2 linked regions of the Cricetulus griseus genome follow. The protein of the gene in region 1 binds, or shares a complex with, the protein of each later gene. Links are inferred from orthologs where the notes say so. Each region holds a gene or a part of one and is shown in the gene's direction. Other genes may lie near its edges. The genes, in order: Pkn1 and Map3k20.

The links.
Region 2: Pkn1 (region 1) and Map3k20 share a complex: the UniProt entries of both Homo sapiens proteins name them as parts of the signaling complex. The link is inferred for Cricetulus griseus from reciprocal best matches to the Homo sapiens genes PKN1 and MAP3K20.

The regions. Positions count from the first base shown.
Region 1 is NC_048596.1:160,713,067-160,723,662, forward strand, and holds the start of Pkn1 (serine/threonine-protein kinase N1), read left to right. Parts: upstream 1-4,932; 5' UTR 4,933-5,108; coding exon 5,109-5,129; intron 5,130-10,596. UniProt on the Homo sapiens protein: PKC-related serine/threonine-protein kinase involved in various processes such as regulation of the intermediate filaments of the actin cytoskeleton, cell migration, tumor cell invasion and transcription regulation.
Region 2 is NC_048599.1:102,752,370-102,762,466, reverse strand, and holds part of Map3k20 (mitogen-activated protein kinase kinase kinase 20), read left to right. Parts: exon of another isoform or gene 1-295; intron 296-3,047; coding exon 3,048-3,092; intron 3,093-4,983; coding exon 4,984-5,014; intron 5,015-5,106; coding exon 5,107-5,246; intron 5,247-6,213; coding exon 6,214-6,276; intron 6,277-7,683; coding exon 7,684-7,776; intron 7,777-10,097. UniProt on the Homo sapiens protein: Stress-activated component of a protein kinase signal transduction cascade that promotes programmed cell death in response to various stress, such as ribosomal stress, osmotic shock and ionizing radiation.

The DNA.
Region 1 (10,596 bases):
CATACACAGAATATAACATAAATACTGATTTTAATTTTCAGCATGGAGGTTGGATGGGACGGATGGGGTTTGTTGTAGGTGAAGGTTTCAGAGAAGGTCTGACTTAGGAGGTGACATTTGAACAAAAGTGGGAATAAAAGGAGAAAGAAGGTCAAGATGAAAAGCAACAGCATTGCGGGGCGGTGGTGGCGCATGACTTTAATCCCAGCACTTGAGAGGCAGAGGTAGAGGCAGGCAGATCTCAGTGAGTTTGAGGCCAGCCTGGTCTACAGAGTGAGTTCCAGGACAGCCAGGACCATTGCACAGAGAAACCCTGTCTCAGAAAGAGAGAGAGAGAGAGAGAAGGAATAGCATAACAGAAAGAAGAACCAGTAACCAGTTCAAAGGTCCTGAGGTCAGGACAGGTTTGTCTGAGGAGCAGTGAGGAGGCCCCTCTCGCCAGAGTGGATTGATGGAGGAGAGTAGAAGATGGGGGGACAGAAAAGCCAATAGCACCCCAGAACTTCACTGTTTTCCCTAAGGATTCTGAGCCTCTCCCCTGGTTTTTTTTTTTTTGGACAGGCTTTCTCAAACTAGGCGGTGGTAGTGCCCACCTTTAATTCCAGCACTCGGGAGGCAGAGACAGGTGGATCTCTGTGAGTTCGAGACCAGCCTGGTCTACAAGAACTAGTTCCAGGACAGCCTCCAAAGTCACAGAGAAACCCTGTCTCAAAGGAAAAAAAAAAAAAAAAGACACACTTTCTCTGTGTAACTGTTCTGGCTGTTCTGGAACTTTCTCTGTGTACCAGGCTGTCCTCAAACTCAGAGATCCTCTTTCCTCTCTGCTCCAAGTGCTGTGATTAAAGGTGTGGAACACCAATTCCTGCCTTTTTGTTTTTTTGAGAAGAGGTGGTTTGACTGGCCTCTCAAATCCACAGACATCTGCTTCTTCTCCCTTCTAACCATCAGGTGATGGGAATGTCCTTCTGTATATGTTTCTCTTATTGGTTGATGAATAAAACACTGTTTGGCTAGTGGCCAGGCAGGAAGGATAGGCAGGACTACCAGAGCAGGAGAATTTTGGGAAACATAGGCAGTCAGAGTCGTCATGTAGAGCTCTCCTTACAATCAATCGGGCACATTTCTCATTCTTTAACGCTCCTCTGAGAACCCTGGTCCAGTTCATCCCCCACCATGGTGTGGTTGTCTTCAGGCCTCCATAGGGATAATGCTCCATTGCCACCTCTCACTGTGTCCACTCCTCCATTCTACAGAAGAAGACAGCAAGGCCTTTGTTACTGTTCTTTATGCTGTGAATAGACATCATGACCAAGGCAACTTATAGAAGAAAGAATTTAACTGAGGTCTTGTCTACAGTTTCAGAGGATTAATCCATGGTCACCATCATGTTGGGGAGTGGTGACAGGTAGGCACCGTGCTGGAACAGTAGCTGAGAACTTCCATCCCCATACATAGGCACAGTGCAGAGAGAGCAAGTCTGGACCTGGCATTGGCTTTTGGAACCTCAGAGCCCACCCCCAGTGACACACTACCTCCAACAAGGCCACACCTCCCAATCCATCCCAACAGTTTATCAACTAGGGACCAAACACTCTAATATATGAGTCTATGGGGGCCATTCCTATTCTAACCACCACAGCCAAAGCACAGTGGCTTTGAAATTAAGTCAGAACATGCCAAGGACTGGAGATACAGCCTCAAGCCACAGGGGAGGATTGTGAGGGTCTCAGAATAGTGTCATTTAAGCAGTTGATTAAAACAAAAAATATTTAAAATAGGCCAGTGATGGGCTGGAGAGATGGCTCAGCGGTTAAAGGCTAGGTTCACAACCAAAAATATAAAGTAGACCAGTGAGATTGCTTAGAAGGCAAAGGCACCCACCATCTTGCTTGACAACCAGAGTTTGAGCCCAGGACCCACATGGGAAAAGATGAGAATGACTCCTGAGAATTATCCTTTGAGCACTGCTTATGTGCCATTGGTGGCACATGTGCGCTTGCTCTCTCTCTCTCTCTCTCTCTCTCTCTCTCTCTCTCTCACACACACACACACACACACACACACACACACACACACACGGATAGTAAATATATTTTAACATGTACCATAAATTGGGACTGGAGAGATGGCAGCAGTTAAGTAACACAACTACCTGGAACTCCAGTCCCAGGGAATCTGATAACTTTTCTGGCCTCTGGGCACCTGGACCCATGTGCATATATCTACCCCAGACAGACATAAACATAAAATACATTTAAATACAATTTTAATGTAATAAAAATTTCAATAAATAAATGAGCAAAGGGCACCAGCCTTGGGGAAATATGACTGAAAGACATTTAAAGCTAGAGAACAGCCTGTACAAAGGCCCTGTGGTTGGAAGCAAGATGAGGAATCAGAGCGGCTGGACAGACTGCCTTGAAGGCCAAATGAGGATGAGAAACCTTTTCTAAGACTTCTTCAAAGACAGAACTAGACTTTCCAGCACAGAGAGCCAGACAGACCGTGGTGAGACATAACGTGTCTGGGATCTAGTGTTTCCTGGCCCCAGAGTAGATTGGAGGGAGACCAGGGATGCTTCAGGGATCTGCTGGGACTTTTATCATTGTTATATGGGGATTTTACAATTAGTTCTATGTCCCTTTTAAAGCCTAGAGTACAGCTCTGTTTCCAGTGCACCCAAATCCCTAGCAGACAGTGATAAAGACTGACTGAGTAAATGAACACTGGGAGGTTGAAGGAGAGCCTGGCTGGATTCCCATGCTCCATCCCCAGAGGCAGCTCAGAACCTGGCAGGCAGGGCCTGGGCAAGGTTTTCCCCTGCCAATCCCATGCCCTCCTCAACTGTGAAATGGGCGGGTTCCTTGCCCACTATGCAGGGGCCATGAACATCATGTCTTGATTATGAAGGCAAGGGGTTCCTCTCTTTTATCAATCTGCAAAAAGGAAGCCAGATGATTAGTTTGGCAAGCTATTTAATTCACTCAGCACACATTTGAGGTATAATTAGGATGTTAACTTGCTGAAGGGGTGAGGAGAGACATGGAGAAGGCAAGGGCATCATCACACAGGGCCTGGTGGGTTCCTCCTAGAAATGTCTAGGCTTTAGGTGTTCATAGGCCCCCTTGGGCTGTGCTTGGAGAAGAGACTTTAGGAGGAGGCTGGGAGACAAGAAGGGTTCTACTCTGGTCCAGAAAGATCAGTGATGGTGTACTGGGCTTGTTGAGGGCTTGGGCAAGATGCTAAGGGAGTGGCTTCCCTATTGTTTCAATTTTCCTCCTCTCGGTTAAAATCCCAGAGAGAGAGAGAGAGAGAGAGAGAGAGAGAGAGAGAGAGAGAGAGAGAGAGAGAGAGGTCCCTGGGAGGACAGAGACACATAGATATACTCTTGTTCCCCTGTGCCAGCACTGATTCCTGGAGGGCACCCACTGTAGGTATTACCCGGAGCCCTGAGGACCAAAGTTTGAATCTCTCACTGGGTTTCTGAGTGAGAGGTCCTCACAGCTACCACAGTATAAACTCCACCTGCATTACTGTGGTCCCCCAAGAGAAATTCTGCAGAGGCCTCTATGGTCCATTTGGACAGTATGGGAGTACCGTATGAATGCTGCATCCAGGAAAAAGCCAGCAAAACTTCACAGAGGGCAAAAACTAGAGCCCCCAGGGATCCACAAGGCTCAGTGCATCAGAGGCCATGCTGAGGTTCAAATTCCTTTATCAATAGTGGCAAAGGAACTGCATGTCTGGTGAGATAGCTCAGCAGTTAAAGGCACTTAAGGCCAAGCCTGATGACCTGAGTTTGGCCCCCCCCAAAAAACGATAGGGTGGAAGAAGAGAACTGACCCTGCAAGTTGTCCATTGACCACCACACATTTGCCCTGGCTTGTGCATGCACGCACAAACACACAAGTCAGGCCCGGAGCAGAGCACCCAGGTGGGATGGCTCACAGTCCCATTTATAACTTCATTCTAGGGAATCCCATGTCCTCTTCTGGTCTCGAGGCCCTGTACATAAGTGCATAAGAGTCATTTCTAGCAAATATTATAAAACTTATGTTTTGGACAGTAATTACAATCATTATCTCCCCTACCTTGTAAGACTTTATGGAGATATTTTAATCTTCCCTACCCAGTAAAACTTTTGTTTATACATTGCCCCCCCGCGGCCCCCCCCCCCGCTCCATTCTAGGAATTTGCTGGCTTGGAGAAGTGACCCCATCCCCCTTTCTCCTCCACTCCTTCTGTACCATTTTTTTTCCAAACTAGCCAATTGAATAAGATTGTGAGGTCACCTGAGTTAGAATAAAAACCAAATGTACTTCCTGTCTCCTTGTTTGGTTTTCCCCAGCACTGTCTTGATCAAGAGCAAATTTTGCCTTGTTCAGACATTTCAGTTAGAATGGTGGTCTCTTTCTTGGCCACTTCGAACGTATTTCTAACATACATAAATCAAAATAGTCTTCAAAACACTAACAGTGACAGCTGCTGTCATTTTTTTCTTTTTATAAACTTGAGGTCTCTGCACTTGGCCTACTGTTTCTCATTAAGTTTTACGGACATCCTTGCCTTGAGGGGTAAGGTGGTCTCCAAAGGCCGGGGACCTGGGATTTGAAATCCTGTTCTCACAGTGCTTGCCTCCGGGAAAATGGGAGGATGAGCCTGTGCTGCTGGGCAGCGGGGAGATGGATCGTGACTTTTGCTTTCTGAGGGATCCGAGGCGGGGACAAGGCCTCTCTGAAGCTCGCGACGGCTTAGGCCTCTCGAGAGTTCCAGCACGCTACAAGGAGCGCAGGGCGAGCCGCACGCACAGCAAAGGAGACCCCCATTCCCGACTGCAAGCCCCGGGGGCCGCCGGGAGCCCCGCCCCCATCCGCCCCGCCCCGCCTCCTCCCCGGGCGCGGACAGCGGCGCTCACGTGACCCGTCCTGCGCCGCGGGCCGGAGGGCGCAGCTCGGCGGAGGCCTGGCCAGGCCGGGCCAAGCGAAGCAGGCCGGAGCGCGCCGCGCGCCAGGGAGGGTCTGGGCGCCGCGCCTCCCGCCGCGCCCGCTCGCGCGCTCGCAAGCCCTCCCTCGGCGCTGGGACCCCTGGCGGGCGGGCGGCCGGAGGACATGGCCGGCGACGCCGTGCAGGTAGGAGACTGGTCCGCACCCGCGGGGCGGCCGGACGGCACGAGGACCCCAGGCACCGGGAGAGCCCGGGACGAGGTCCCCTTAGGGAGTTCGCGCGGGCCCTTGTAGCAGGTCGGGGCGTCGAGGTGCTCGGAGGAAGAGGTGCTGTTCGCGATCCTGCCACCGCACCTCCTCCTCCGGCCCTCCGCGAGAGTCAGCGGGCGCAACGGGGACGCCGCTTGGGTGTCCCAGGCCAGCTGCGGGTTCCGTCCCCACGCCCTGCTCGCCCAGGACCTCAGCGTTCCGTTTCTGGCAGGTGCCGCTTTACCTGGAGCAGGTGCCTGGCGCCCTGCCGCGCGGCCCGTGCCCCTCCCCCGCACAACAAAGCCGGGCCACCCCCGCCCGCAGACGTCTTTACGATGATTTTGACGCCACCAGATGGGCACCTGTTGGAGGAAGTGCCTAAGTCACTTCATTAGGCCAGAGGCCGGTCCCCCCCGCCCCCGCCCTTAGTCACCCTTCAGCCTGACAGATGGAGCCATATCTCAGGTGGGGCGTGTCCTGTCACAAAGGCAGGAAGGATTTTATGTCTGGAAGGCGACAGGACTGGGTAACCGCATCCTTGCAACAGACACCTGTGACTGGCATCTGCCAGCCCATGGCCTTCCCTGTGTTACCTGTTGGGCATTTCTGAACTCACCTTCCCAAGAGGAAGCAGGGTCAGGATCACTTTCCACTCTCTAATTTAATGACCCAAATCTGAGATCTTGGTATCTTTGTGACTCCATTAGTTCTTCACCATGAAGTCCATTGTCCTATGTAACTGGTTTTCATCTTCTGCACCTGCCCCGTGTCTCCCCTGCACCCTCCTGTACCCCTCTTCCCCAGTCCTGCTGATGGCCTGCCGGCCTTGCCGAGGAGCTGGGCGTATCTGGTGCTGCCGATCTCACAAGGTCAGACCTCCGGAGAGGCGTGATGCACTGGGTGCTGGCTCCCCTTCAAGCCCACAGAGGGCTGTGGAGGGCTTTCCCAGAGCGTGCATGTGCTTGGGGTGTCCCACACAGGGCACATATGGAGGCTGTGATTCCCAGAATGAGTCTGGACCAACATCTCGTCTCCTCTCTGTCTTCTCCCTTAAGTTCATTCCTGCTTGGACTTGCTGCCCTGCCTCACTACCTCCATGCCTGTCTGTTCTGTGTCTGGCAAACGGATGTCCTGTCTAGATTCTGGGAACGCCCCAGGCATTGAAATCTCAGGATGTGGGGTTCTGGATCCCTAGCTACTTTGCCAAGAAGGTTTCCCAAGATGAGAGTTCTTGGTTTGGTGTCTCCAGGTCTGTGATGGCAGGTGGAGAAGCTGATGTTCTAATTCTTCAAGACCAGGCCAAGCATTTGCCCTGCTGCCCTTAAGTGACTCCTTGGCCCTGGGCAAGTGAATCACCCAGGGGAGGAGGACCCAGGAGGCCTTCCTTGCATGCGTTACACATTCTCAGGCCTCCTCTACTGGAGGTGGGGCTGAGAGCCTTCACTTTTCCTCTTTGCCTGTATGCTCCCCATTTGAACTGGCCCTGCTCCTGGCTGTGTACCTGCTTTGCCTGATGGTGGGGGGAGGGTGATGGTGAGGGACCGTGGGTGGGGCCCAGTCATGCCAGAGTGTTGTTTGGTGAGGCTGGGCTTAAATCCAGTGCTGTCTTCCCTGATGAACTCCTGGGTGAAAGCCATTACTTTTCTGAGTCTTGTTCCTGTTTTGGAGGAGGGAATGGGGTTATGAATGGTTATGAGAAGAGAGGTGGAGTCTCAGCCAGTGCTCTAAGGGCCTCTGTGACGTCTTTACCTGTGAACATGGTGCTTGGTAGTCCAATCCGGGAGCCCATGCCTCTTCCCAAGGCCCCAGCACTGGTATTTGGGTCTGGATCGTTTTGTGGCGGGGGCTGTCCAGTGTGCCTCAGGGTGCTGAGCAGCAGCACTGGCCTCCACTTGACAGGTGTCTCTTGTGTACCTTGGTTGTAATGACAACCAAGAATGACCCCAGACATTGACATGTATTTCTAGAGATGATGAAAAAACAACCCCATCTTCACTGAGAGCCACTGTTACGGCCTTTTTGAGTCCCAGTTTCCCCCCATGGTGACTACTATTCAGAATAGTAGTCACCATGGGGGGGATGATATATAGAGAGGAGATGATAGGATCATAGATCTGTGCTCTTGACCTGCAATCTTATCTACTCTCCAGGAGGGCTTAAGAGCCTAGGAGAACTTTGCTCACAGTGGTAAGGTGTGGTGCACATGGATCCCTCCCAGTTAGTGTTAGGAAGCTTGGCCCTATCTCTTGCTGGCTGTGGGATCTTAGGGCAAGGGGGCCTTAGGTAGTTTCTTCCTTTCTTCTTTTTTTTGGTTAGGGTCTCACTGTGTAGACCAGTTGTCTTGGAACTCAGACATCCTCCTGCCCCTCTTGCTGGGTATAGGGATCAAAGGCACGTGGCAGAAAGCCTTGCTGGGCCTCAGTTTCTTCATTTTGCAGATAGTTTGATTTCTGTCTATGTATCTGAGGCATCTGCATCATGCTGTGCCAGATGTGAAGGTGCACGCCACAATTCTAGAACTAGCAAGGAGGAAGCAAGAGGGGCAGGAGTTCAAGGCCAGCCTTTGCTGTGCATTGAATGCAAAGCCACCTTGTGTTACATGAGACCTAGCACAGAACACTATGAAGCAAAACAAAACAGGTAGTACCTGTAACATGGAATGACATTAGTTGAGACTTGGATGGATTGTGTAGCTGCTGTTGTTGTTACTTACGAGGTTCGGAGCTTGTACATTCTACCAAACTTCACCCACTGCTGTTACTACTACTTTTATTGATTTTATTGTTTTTAATGATGTATATTGGGGGGTATGTACATATACCCGAAGAAGCCAGAGCCATCATCAGATCCACCTGGAACTGAAGTTACAGGCACTGCTACTAGGACCTGAACTCAGGTCCTTTGGAAGAGCAGTGTGAGCACTTAACTGCTGAACCATCTGTCCAACAACACTCCTACTATTTTTAAAAATGTTTTTGTTTTAGAGCAGTTTTAGGTTCACAGTAAAATCCAATGGAAAATAGAATGTTTTCATATATACCTTGTCCCTGATACGTTTTAACTGTACCACTGATAGTTCAGATTTAGTGTATATTTGGCAAACAAGTGTGGTCTCCTATTTGGGGCCACTCAGGGCTGTCTTCTCCTGGAGTGAACTTCAGGGAGCTACTGTTAAGGCAGGTGGGCCCCCTAGGCTCCCAAGCTGAGATCAGCCGTGGTGGACATCTGGGTAGGGAGAAACAGGAAGTTGATGCTGCCTGTCTACAGGAAGCTGCACAAATACACACACACACACACACACACACACACACACACACACACACACACACACACACACCCTCTACTACAGCACTGACTGTTCTGATTCTTAAGGGGAAGTTGGGGACAAGGGACAAGACATGAATAGGCAGTAGCATGACTGAGGGCCTCAGGGCTGCTGTGGGGACATGGGCAATGACAGAGAGAGAGAGAGAGAGAGAGAGAGAGAGAGAGAGAGAGAGAGAGAGAGAGAGAGAAGCTTATGGAGGGCTCAAACTAGCACTCATGGCTGTCCGCTTACCCTTACACCTGTCTGTGGGTTTATTTGGTCTTAGAAATTATAGTCCTCCATGGAGTGAAGTCAGGGCTGGAGATCAAGACAGGAGCTTAAAACAAAACCACAGAGGAGTATTGCTTACTGGCCCACTTCCTCTGGCTTACTCAGCTCCTTTCTTACACAGGCCAGGCCCACCTGCCAGGGATGGCACTGCCCACAGAGGGCTGGGATCTCCTACATCAGTTAGCAATTAAGAAAATGTCTCATAGGCATGCCCACAGGCCAGTCAGACAGAGGCAACCCCTCAGTTGAGGTTCCCTCTTCATAGGTTTGTCAAGTTGACAGCTGAAGCTAGCTATGACAAGGGTATACATATATATGAGCTTATGTGTGTGCATGTGTGAGCCTGTGAGCAAATCTCACACCTGCAAAACTGGAAATGTGATCGTACCTATGAGCCTATCTTTGGTTCACACATATGCTGTGTACCACATGAGATCCTGTCTGCTACATACAACTGTGGGTGTGTATATCCAGGGTGTTCTCTCAGGCCAGGAATTAAGGGCTACCTGTCCCTGGCTTGCCTCCAGAGAAGCAAGCATGGCCATTTAGGGGGTGATGTGGGAAGAACCTCTTACATGGCACATGCCTTTAATCCCAGAACCCAGGAGGCAAAGGCAGGCAGATCTCTGTAAGTTTCAGACCACCCTGGTCTCCATAGTCAATTCTAGGACAGCCGGGGCTACATAGAGAGACCCTGTTTCAAAAAAAAAAGAAAGAAAAAAAGAAAACAAAACAACCCCCAATAAAACTACAACAACAACAACAACAAACCCCATGCCCTAGAGCTGCCCTGGCGCAGAGGATGCTGGGAGCTGGCAGGAAAGAGGAAGTGGCAGTCCAGAGGCCCTGGCAGGGCTGAGGTTCAGGAAGAGGGCGTGGCCCTCAGACCAGACCCAGGACCCAGATGGCGGCTGATTCCCCTTTGCATCTGGATCTGGAGGTAGGGGCTAGGTCTCCATAGGATGGGCAGAAGGAGACCCCTAGAGACAGAAGCTGAGGGTACCTTTCAGTTGGGGACTAAGGGTAGGAAGGAGATGGGGCACAAGTTAGTTCTCTAACTTTTGGGTGCCACATCAGCTCTCTGGTTTGGGAGATGTGGGAGGAGATGAGCGCCGTCTTTGGAGTACCAGATAGAGAAGACAGGAAGGCAGGGCTGGCCCTTGGGATCTCCCAGTTTGGGAATGCAGATCAGAGAAGTCAGGATATGTTTCTAAGGTTCTCCTGGTTTTGGAGTATGGCAAAAGAAACATGTAGCTTGCCCTTGGAACCTCCTGGTTAGGAGTGCAGGAAACTGGAAGAAAAAAGGGGTCTTTTGGAGTCTTCCTGCCAGAATCCCATTGCATAGGTCACAAATTAAGGGAGATAGGGCCCACCTGTGGCGAGCCTGGTCAGTGCAACTGGGAGGAAGGAGGCCTTGTTTTTGGCCTATTCTTTGACCTTCTATTTATTTATTATTTAGTTTTGGTTTTTTGAGACAGGGTTTCTCTGTAGCTTTGGAGGCTTTCCTGGAACTCGCCTGTAGACCAGGCTGGTCTGGAACTCACAGAGATGCTCCTGCCTCTGCCTCCCGAGTGGTGGGATTGAGGGTGTGCGCCACCACCACCTGGCTTATTTATTTATTTATTTATTTATTATTTATTTATATTATTATTATGCATGTGTGTCTTTAGGGTTATGTACACATGCACATCAGTGCCTGCAGAGGCCAGAGGAATCCAGTCCCCCTAGATCCAGAACTAGAGGCTTGAACGGAATTGAGTCTCTGTAAGAGCAATACGTGCTTTTAACAGAGCCATTTCTCCAGCC
Region 2 (10,097 bases), on another chromosome or scaffold:
CATCATCACTGTGTTTTCATAGCAGTCTTCTCCCTTGCACTCTATTGCAATGTTATTCTGAGCAAGTCTTATGCCAAATGCCATGTATAATGTTTGTATGGATGATTAAACTGCGCTCCTGTGTGGTAAGACTGTTTAGTTGCCGACTTCATAATTGGGATTTGATATCCCAGCACGGAGTCCACGATGTATTCAGAAATCCAAGTTGGTGTCATACATTTCATTCTGATGTGAACTTTTCTCTGCTTTCCTTTGTTCTAAGACTCCATTTTGCAATAAACGTTTTGACAGTAAACCCCTTTGTTATGTGTCGCTGTGTACATAAGATCTTTGTTAGACCGGATTCCTAACATCCTTTGAAGAAATCAGTGTCACACACATGCACATGAGTGCTAGCTTTTCTCTCCTGAAGTCTGTTGGAGTATAAATAATGAATTACTAAAGTGATGGGGCAGTCATGAGGGATTTTTTTTTATCCCCAAAGAAAACAGAAAGGCTTAGAACTCTTCTACAGCAGATGCACTGATATGTTAACAGGGTACAGAAACCGTGAAGGCGATGGTGAGCCTCTGTGTGGCTGGAGATCATTAACTCTTAGCCCCTGTCTTGCCCAATTCAAACCGTCTTGCAGCAGCGCCTGGTCCCAGCCCTCCTCTCACTGATCTTTGCAAGCATCTGCAGACTCCTGCTGGAGGGAGCATCAGGCAAAGCTCAGGTCTTCCCTTTGGCATAACCTTGATGAGCTGGCCACAGCGCAGCAAGAACTCCACTGTCCTTCCCACATTAAAACTGAAGGTGTGCTTATTTCATTTATACTCTTTATTCAAGAAATGCTTATTCCTCAGTTTCGTTAGCACATGTGGAAAGTATATAAAAGTCAAAACACCACACACACATACATGGGCATACACAACATCACATCCGCACATGCCCTGACATCCTGCAGAGACCAGCCTCAACGCAGGGCAATACTTCTATATGGTATCTCAATGTCTCTTACTTTACGTTTGTATCCATGGTGGACAAAAGGGGTGGCATGTTTCTGCAGCTGTATGCAGCTGCCCTGCGAAGAAGTAAAGCTTGTCATGTGTTTCTTTGATTGAGATCAACTTCAGATGAGCTTCCTTGGGTCCCTCGTCCACACTATTAAAGTGAGCATGCTGGGTGACTCCTTCATAGTGCGTGTGTAGAGGGTATGTGGAAAATACTACTGACTCAAGCCTTTGCTGTATGTCCTTGCAACCTATATGTAGTATCCAGAGTCTGCACATTCATGTTTAAAATAATAAAACCTGCTCTGCTGCACTCAGAATTGGCTTCCTTCTCTTTTTCCTCCAACACAATTTCACCTCATCCTGTGCTCCAATTAAGTGAGCATGTCATACCCACTCCTGTGGCCAGTATCTATCTAGTTGTTCTTCCTTGCCTTCTCTTTTTCCCCAGGGCCTGCCATCCCCAGCTCAAGCCACTTTCCCTGACATATGCTGTGGTACATCGGTCTTTGTATGCCTATCAGCACTGAGTAGACTACCAAACAATTTGGCAACTGAATAATGCATCCTTCATTCTATAATTTTATTCATTCTATAAGTTAGTATGATAAAATTTACACAGGTGGGGCTAGAGAGAGAACTTGGTTGGTAAAATGCTTGCTTTGCGTAAATGAGGACCTGTGTTCAAGTCCAGAATATACATAAAAAGCCAGCTGTTGTGGCCAGGGGCAGAGAGGCAGATAGGTCTCTGGTGCTCACCAGTCAATCAGCCCAGCCTAATTGGTGAGCTCTAAGCCCGTGAGGAGTATCTGAGGAATTACACCCAAGGTTTTCCTTTGGCCCTCAAACATGCATGTATCTACACACATACTCATGTGTACATGCCAATGTACCAAGTATAGTGCATTAATAACAAAAAATGATAAAATGGGCCTCCCCCAAATATAATCCACAGATGTTTCACTCAGTTCTAATAAAATTCTGTATAGGGATTATGCCTTTCCTTAAGCTTGTGGTTATACAATAAATACCTCTAAGTTGGAAAGATTAACTTAGCCACCATCAGATTGTCACACTAGCAGTAAACGTAACTAAATTCAACTTTTTGTCTTTTCTTTATTTTTATTGTTCTTTGAAAATTTTATGCATGTATGCAAAGTATTTAGATTACATCCACCCCCCATCAAATTCTTTTTCCCAATTTGCTCACACACACACACACACACACACACACACACACACACACACACACACAAAATTGTTTGTAACAGAGGCTGGGTGATATTTGGCATATTCTTTCATGAATAATCATCCTCACAAGTCAAACTGGTTGAAGCTATTGGCTATACCACACTGTAGCCCATAGGATACCGGCCTTTTCAAGTTATGAAAGTATTTGCTATTCAGCCCATAGCCATGGGATGTGAAAAGTTCTCTGGCATAGGCTGAAGTGCTCTACAAGTCCCCATCCCACATGTGTCCCTGACATGTTTCCGACTGTGTTGGAGCAACTCTGAGCCCAGATGCCTTAAGACAGTTCCATCCTCCCATGTCAGCCATGTAAGGGAGATGTTTAAGCCCCTAGAAACCCCTGTGAGAACAGGCAAAATAAATCACCTGACTACTTATGGTTGTTTTGGAATTTTTGATGGTAAATTATCCTATTATCCTACTTCTGGCTGAGAATTCTTAGGCTGCTCTGGTAGCTGGTGAATGTCAGAAAGGCCATGATTCTAAGGCCTTGCTGTGAGATGTATAGCCAGTCCTGCCTGCCAAACCCCATGCCAAAGAAGACTACATCAAGTTGTACCAACCCCTTAGAACAGCTCGTAAGGTAGAATGGATTGTTGCCAGGAATTCATTTACAAATCGGCTGCAGGGCTCAGCATCCTTGGACACTGAGAACCTCCTCTGAAGGTTGAGGAAACTGTCTTCCTCTCAACCTAACCCTCCAGAGGAAGCCAGAGCAGCAGGAGAGCTGATATGAGAAGACAAACCAAAAAGACTAGGATAATATTGCTTCCCTTTTTCATTTCCTTCGTATCTTCCACGCAGCTGCTGCCTTCCTTTGAGATCAGTGCATGGACTGAAGACGATGTGGTAAGCTGCTTCTGTTAATGCCTCATGGATCTGGATAGGAAGCCAGCAGATTTGTCCACAAGTTTGGAGATGCAGTTAGAGCTGGGTCTAGCTAGCAGAAGTTAACAAACTCCTCTTTTTGTTTAAATAATATAACAGTGATTGAAAATAAGGACTCAATAGCAAAAGCAATTAGCTCTTCAAATCTTATGAGGGTTTCATCTTCATAACTGGCTGTGAAAATACTCCAGAATATAGTAATGCCAATGGCAAGATAAAAGCTATACTATATTTTATAATTTCTATATACATATACTCCATGTACATATATATATGTATATATGTATATATATGTATGTATATATATGCATATATATATATATAGAGAGAGAGAGAGAGAGAGAGTATACACACACACACACACACACACTCCAGAATATAGTAGTATATCAATAGCAGGATAAAAGCTATGATTCAGAATGACAAGTACACATACTTGAAAAAAATTCAATTCTTAAACTTCTCTACAACACCAGTGGTAGACTTGAGCATACAGGAGAGAGACCATAACGGGCTGGAGTTCCCTGCACAGGTTCCCCTCCCACCTCAGGCCCGCTCATTAACTGACAAGATGCCTAACTGCCTTCCTTACTCTGGCCTTCCCCGAGAGGAATGGACAGAGTATGCCCCATAATCTTACATCCCAGGAGGCATGATACTTAAGTCTGCAGGAAGGCTCCATGCAGCTCTGGGTAGACTCCCTGAGGAGCAATCCCGGGTAGCCAGTTCTCTCTCCATATCTGCTTCCTTAATGGCAAAACAATTTTGAGAACTGCTGATGAGAGACTTCAGGGACCCTCGCCTGTCCAGATCCATTTTATAAGCTCAAGGGCATCATTAAATGCAGAAGAAAATAAAGATGAAATGCTAGCTAGTTCTAGCAAGGATGTGCTCCACCCTAGGGAGACAGACACCCCAAGGAGTCTCAAGGAAAAGTCATGATTAGGAATTCCAGGAGACCTGTTCTAGACGTCAGCCTGGTGTGGGGCTGGGGTGTGCCCCCTCTGCCCTTTGTTTTTTTTATGAAGTGAGTTTCTTGCTGCTTTAGGCAGCTGCGTGGGTCCCACAAAGCAAAGAAGCCAGCTTCCTGTTTCTCCCCTTCCTTGAACACTAGAAGCTGAGCCTCTTGCCAGCCCTGGCCCTGTATGTAATTGCTTCCTCCCCAGCTACAAGGGTGGTCCATCTCCTTTGAAAGGAAAGTGATTTGAAACAACTGAGTTCTGGGAGCTATTTTTAGTCTTTGCTGCAAGGTTAAGTGGCTCACATGCCATTCAGCTAAAAGTCCATTGTCTAGGGACCCAGGGAACCAGAGTGACTGAGTCTGGCCTCTTCTCTGTGTGTCTTCACCAGGGTAATGTTAGGTCACTGGTAAACAGGTGCCAAATGATATATACAAGGACAAGGGACCCCTAGGTGTAACCACCTCACTCGACACAGAAAGTACCATCTTTTGCATGGCCCCCAAATGGCTGCCATGGCCGAACAAGCTAATGGGAGTCGTCATCCTGTCCATCTCTATGTCCACTTCTGGGTGGTCCTTGTTACTCGTGCAGTTCCTGAAATAAGTATGGTAGCAGTCTACCTGCATGTATAATGGAAAAGTCACTATAGGAGCTCCTCTAGGAAAGATGTACACTTTCGCTCAAGGAAGTCTCTCAACTGCCCAATGCCCCCTACGGGAAGAATATCTCCAATTTGAGAGCTTGAGGCTTTAAACTCCAAAGAGAACTCTTTCATCTCTCCCTTGTGGCTAAGTTAAAGACATCTGAATCTATTGGAAACTGTTTTCTTGTTGAGAATGGCTACTGCCTGTATGTGACCCTCCCGAACCATGTGTGTCCTCTCTTCGCAGTATTTTTGGGTTCAGCAGCTCGTCAGAAAAGGCAAGTGAAATAAATTACCTTCGTATTTACAGAGTTAACTTTGTCGGGCTATGATTTATCCTCATTTCCTGCCTTCTGCACTTCTCTCCCAGGTGACTCTTCAGTAGAGATGAGTGGGTATGCAAGCTTGTTTAAGGAAAACAACATCACAGGCAAGCGGTTGCTGCTTTTGGATGAGGAAGATTTGAAAGACATGGGCATTGTCTCCAAGGGGCACATCATCCATTTTAAGGTACCCGGTGGGAGAGTGTCAATAAATCAATGTGTGGTATGGTGAGCCATGTGTGGGCAAATAGAGATGAAAGCATCACGGTATGGGACATTCGGTGCTGAAATACCTCCAGGCTTGTCCCTAACTAGTTGCCACACCTGCACTGCCCTGTTCCCACCTTAAAATCCCACAGCGGTTACCTGGATACAATGGTGTAACACCTCTGTATTGCCAGGAAGCCTCTAGTCTAGGGGGAAAATGGTGTGCAATGACACCTCTGAGAGATGCCACAGAGGAGACAGGGCTGGGCTAAGGGCAGGCTTCTGGAAGGGACATTAGGCAGGTGATGGCATTGCACTGGAGGAGGAGTCATGTGAGGGAGAAGCATTGCCAGAGGAAAGGCCTGGGGCAGGAGGAAGCTCAGTGGGCCCGAGGACTGCAACTAAGGTAAGGTCACACCTAGAGAGCGGTTACCACACCCAGGACTAGCCGAGGCCGCTTAGCCCACTTACAGCTGGAGGGGCCAGACATTCATGAGAAGTCCTGAAGGAGCCTGGAACTTTGCCCATTTGGGATTAGTTGGTTAAGTAGGAGTGTGGCCTCAGGTCTGGTGGTCTGGAGACTGCTTACCTACTGGCACCAAGAGAACTGTGGGCAGGGACTTCAGGGCCAGGAAACCCTTCATAGTTGCATCCGGGAGCTGAGTTGACTATTAGTGTGGCCCAAGCACACTAATAGGGGCCTAACAGGCCTTACCGATGGGGTCAGGAAATAGATGGGTGGAGCTTTACCATCTGTCTCTAGTCTCCTGTCCTTTCAGTGATGGCCAACTACCATGTCTACATATGCTTAACCACTGATAGAGGTTAACATCCCCCAAGATGTTCTATAAACTACATAAAGTCCTTTATTTTGTATGCTCAGTAATTTTAATCATCTTTGGTATCATCAAAGCATTAATAAAGTCACGTGATTTTTCTCCTTACAGTCAGCTATCGAGAAGCTGGCCCACGATTACCTGAACCTGTTTCACTTCCCACCACTAATTAAGGTGAGTGAGGTTTCCTCACTGACGGCTCGCTGCTTTTATTGGCATACGCACCTGCCACATCCACACCCGACTTCGCTAATGTCTGGGACTGTTGTTTGAAGTGAAATGTAATTACTTCTGTCCAACAAAAGACCCTTTGACGACTGTGATCTGTATAAATTACACACATTTGTTCCCCACGCTTTGAAATATTAACAACACATTCAAGATAAGAATAGTACCCCCCACTAAGATTGTAGGTGAAGGCCTCTGGCCTCATGCCTGGTTCTAGAGGCCTTTAAGTTACTAAAAAAAAAGCCACACACCAGAGCTCTGGGTTGCCACTTTCCCTCGGGGTGGAGGGGTAGGGAGTGTTATTTAAATAGAACACTAAATAGCAGTGCCCCTCCTTGTCCATGGGAATACATCCCAGCACCCCCTGCAGATGCCTGAAACTGAGATTAGCACCAAACCCTATGTATACTGCCTTTTCCTGTGCAAACATGCCTGTGACAGAGTTTAATATTATAAACTGGGCACAGTGAGAGATTAACAACAGCCAGTAATAAAACAAGTATAACAGTTTACTTATTAAAAAGCTATCCTAAAATTTGTGAACTGTTTACTTCTACAACTTTTATTTAACAGTTTTGGACCAGAGCTGACTGTAGGTAACTGAAACCATGGGAAACAAAACCATGAATAAAGAGGGACTACTGTACTTAACTTACAGCTGTGAATATGGTCTAAGGATACATGACACACTTCATTATAAAAATTAGCAAATGCTTGTAGTTAATACCTAGAGCTGTGGCTTGGGTCTCTCAGTCCACATAGACTGAAGAAGCTGCAGATTTCCTCTCAGGAAAGAGTGTATAAACACCTTGAATACTCTGAAGCTCTCAGTCTGCAATCTTACCATGCATCCAGTGCAAACTGTTACTCTGAAGCTCTCAGTCTGCAATCTTACCATGCATCCAGTGCAAACTGTGCTTCTAGAATGAAGTGCATAGTGCCAGATGCACCCAGAAAGCCACGCCAGTGACACTGCTCGGAAAAGCATAAGAGAAACCATTCAGCAAAGTCCTCAAAGCTGTGTCACTTCTCCTGCTCTCGGTCAGTAGTTACAAATTGTATCTTACTTTAATAATAGAAGTTCAATAAAAGATTAGAATGGAAAAACCTGTTAGCACCAGGAGCTAGGGGAACTACAGAAGTATAGGCAGGGGTTTGGGGACTAGGGACCCCTTAACAGTCAGAACCAGGAGCGGGGCTAACCAGGAAGTGTGGGCTGAGCAGTCGGGGCCTGGTGGGCTCTTTCCTGTGGCAGAGGTAAGAAGAAAGAAAAAAAGTAAAAAGTACCTGCTTTACATGAGAAATCAAAGTGAAAACCGATCTCTAATAATAATATCTGCTTTTCTATTTTAGGATTCAGGAGGGGAACCTGAAGAAAATGAGGAAAAAATTGTGAACCTTGAACTTGTTTTTGGTTTTCACTTGAAGCCAGGAACTGGCCCACAGGTAACATGTTTCAAATCATTTGGGTATTTTCAACCTGTAACTCAGTGGTTTTGTACAGTCCCTACCACCTGGTAACATGATTCAGAATAAAAGTGTAGACTGAAGGCATCATAAAGCAGAACCTAGCTGACAGGCAGCCAACTTCCTTTGGAATCCAATCTAAGAAATGTCAGTTTCCATCAGTAAAAAAATACTGGGGGAGACCATTCAAACTTTCAAGGTCACACATAGCAAAACACAGGCAGTGGGAGTTTTGGGGATGGCTCATTCCGTTCTCTGGCTCCTGGCTCTTGAGGAAAATAAGAATAAAACCACACCAAGATTGGAATGGAGACAAAGTGGAGAAGCAAGTTAAAAGTGATGAGGACAGCTAGGCAGTGTTGGCACATGCCTGTAACCGCAAGCATGAGGAAAGCAGGGCAGGGGGATCGATGAGAGTTTGAGGCCAACCTGGTCTACAGAGGAGTTCTAGGACAGCCAGGGCTACACACACAGAAACCCTGTCTCAAACAAACAAACAAACAAAAACCCCAAAACCAAAAATCTAAAGTGATGAGGACCAACTGGGGCAGTGCTATGAGCCCCAGCCGCCTGAGATGGAACTGATGAGACTTAACACTCACTGGAGATGGAGTGAGAGAGAGGAAGAGAGAGGAGCCAGCTGGGACAAAGGTTTCTAACTGAGCGGCTGCATAGATGGTGTTATAAAGTAACAGATCAAAAGGAAACCCTATTGTGCTGGTGCCATGCCAAGGTGCCGAAAACATAAGGAAGTAACTGATGTGGGGGTGATCAGGAAACACTTGGGGGAAGGCCTAAGTTTTGAACTGGAGCTTGAAGAGGCTGATGGGCCACTATAAAATAGTTACCTGAATAAAATGAATAAAACCTGTCTTCAGAGACTTTCTGGAAATCTTAACTATTTTCTGAATGTCATCTCACCAGTCCCCTGGCATTTATGTCAGATGCACGAGACACAATGATGTCATCTTTGATTGAGAAACAAATAAAACAAGACAAAGTGTGTGACTAGCCTGGGATGATGTGACAACAGATAGAGCCAAAACTCATGGCTTGCTTTTTGTTTTCATTGTATATGTGCTAACTCATTTAAGCCACCTCTAAAATGAAATGAAACAGTCACCGAATAGATTACTCTCCAGTTCTACAGTACCCCATTATGTCACTCTATACCCTAAATAACAAAACATTACTTCAGAACTGTGCTTTGAGTGGAAATTATAGTTTATATGAGAAGTCTTAATTACCTTAACACTTAAAAGTAGAACCCATTAAAAAAAAAAAAAAAGACTTCCTCAAAACCCCAGTTAACTGGGTTCTCATAAACCTACCTCTGCAAGCCCCTCATGACTAGAATAAAAACTTCATGAGACACTGTTATTCTGAAATCCTCCCCAAACTCTGCTGGATGTTACCTTTTCTTTCACATGTAAATGAGAAGGATGGTCCAACAGGAGCCACTGGAGAATAATGTGTGACAGTGATTCCTTTCATGAAAATAGTCACAACTTTTTCTCTTTGCCTTTGAGGAGGACTATTGAGTAACAATACCCTAAAAGTGGTGTTAATCATCTTTGCTTTACTATAACAAAATGCCTGGCAGAAATTACTTAAGGGAAGACAAATGCATTTTAGACCATGGTTTTGGAGGCTTTTAGTCAGCTGTGTCGGGGAAAGGCATGTACAGCAGTTCAGTTCTTAACAGGGACCTTGTGGTAGAGGCTGCAGACATCATGGTAGACCAGGAAGCAAAGAGCATGATGGGAACAAGAGGCCTGTGGCTTGAGGCTTTTTTGCATCCTGCCCAGTCTCAAAGCTGCTTATAAAATAATCACTCAGAGGCTTAATATTAATTATAATTGTTTGGCCAATGGCTCAGGCTTATTATTGGCTAACTCTTACATTTAAATTAATGCATTTCTATTAGTCTGTGTATTGCCACGTGGCCCGTGGCTTACTGGTAACATTCTGACATCTTACTCCTCTGGCAGCTTCTGGCATCTCTGTCAACTCTGCCTTCTTTCTGTATCTCTGCTTGGATTTCCAACTAACTAACATGACTTTAAGTTTGACTCTTATAGATGACTATTAATTTGTATTTCTTAACTATTCATTATATTTTTAAATGAGCTGCATAAACATAATACCTTAACCAAGAGTAGAAATATATATACAGTATAACAAAATTGACCTTAAATTTGTGTCAATAAACCAAAATCTACACCAGTGTAAAATGTTTTGAGATTAATGATTAGTTTTTGAATTAAAGTAGATTTAAAATAGATTCAATAAGCTACCTT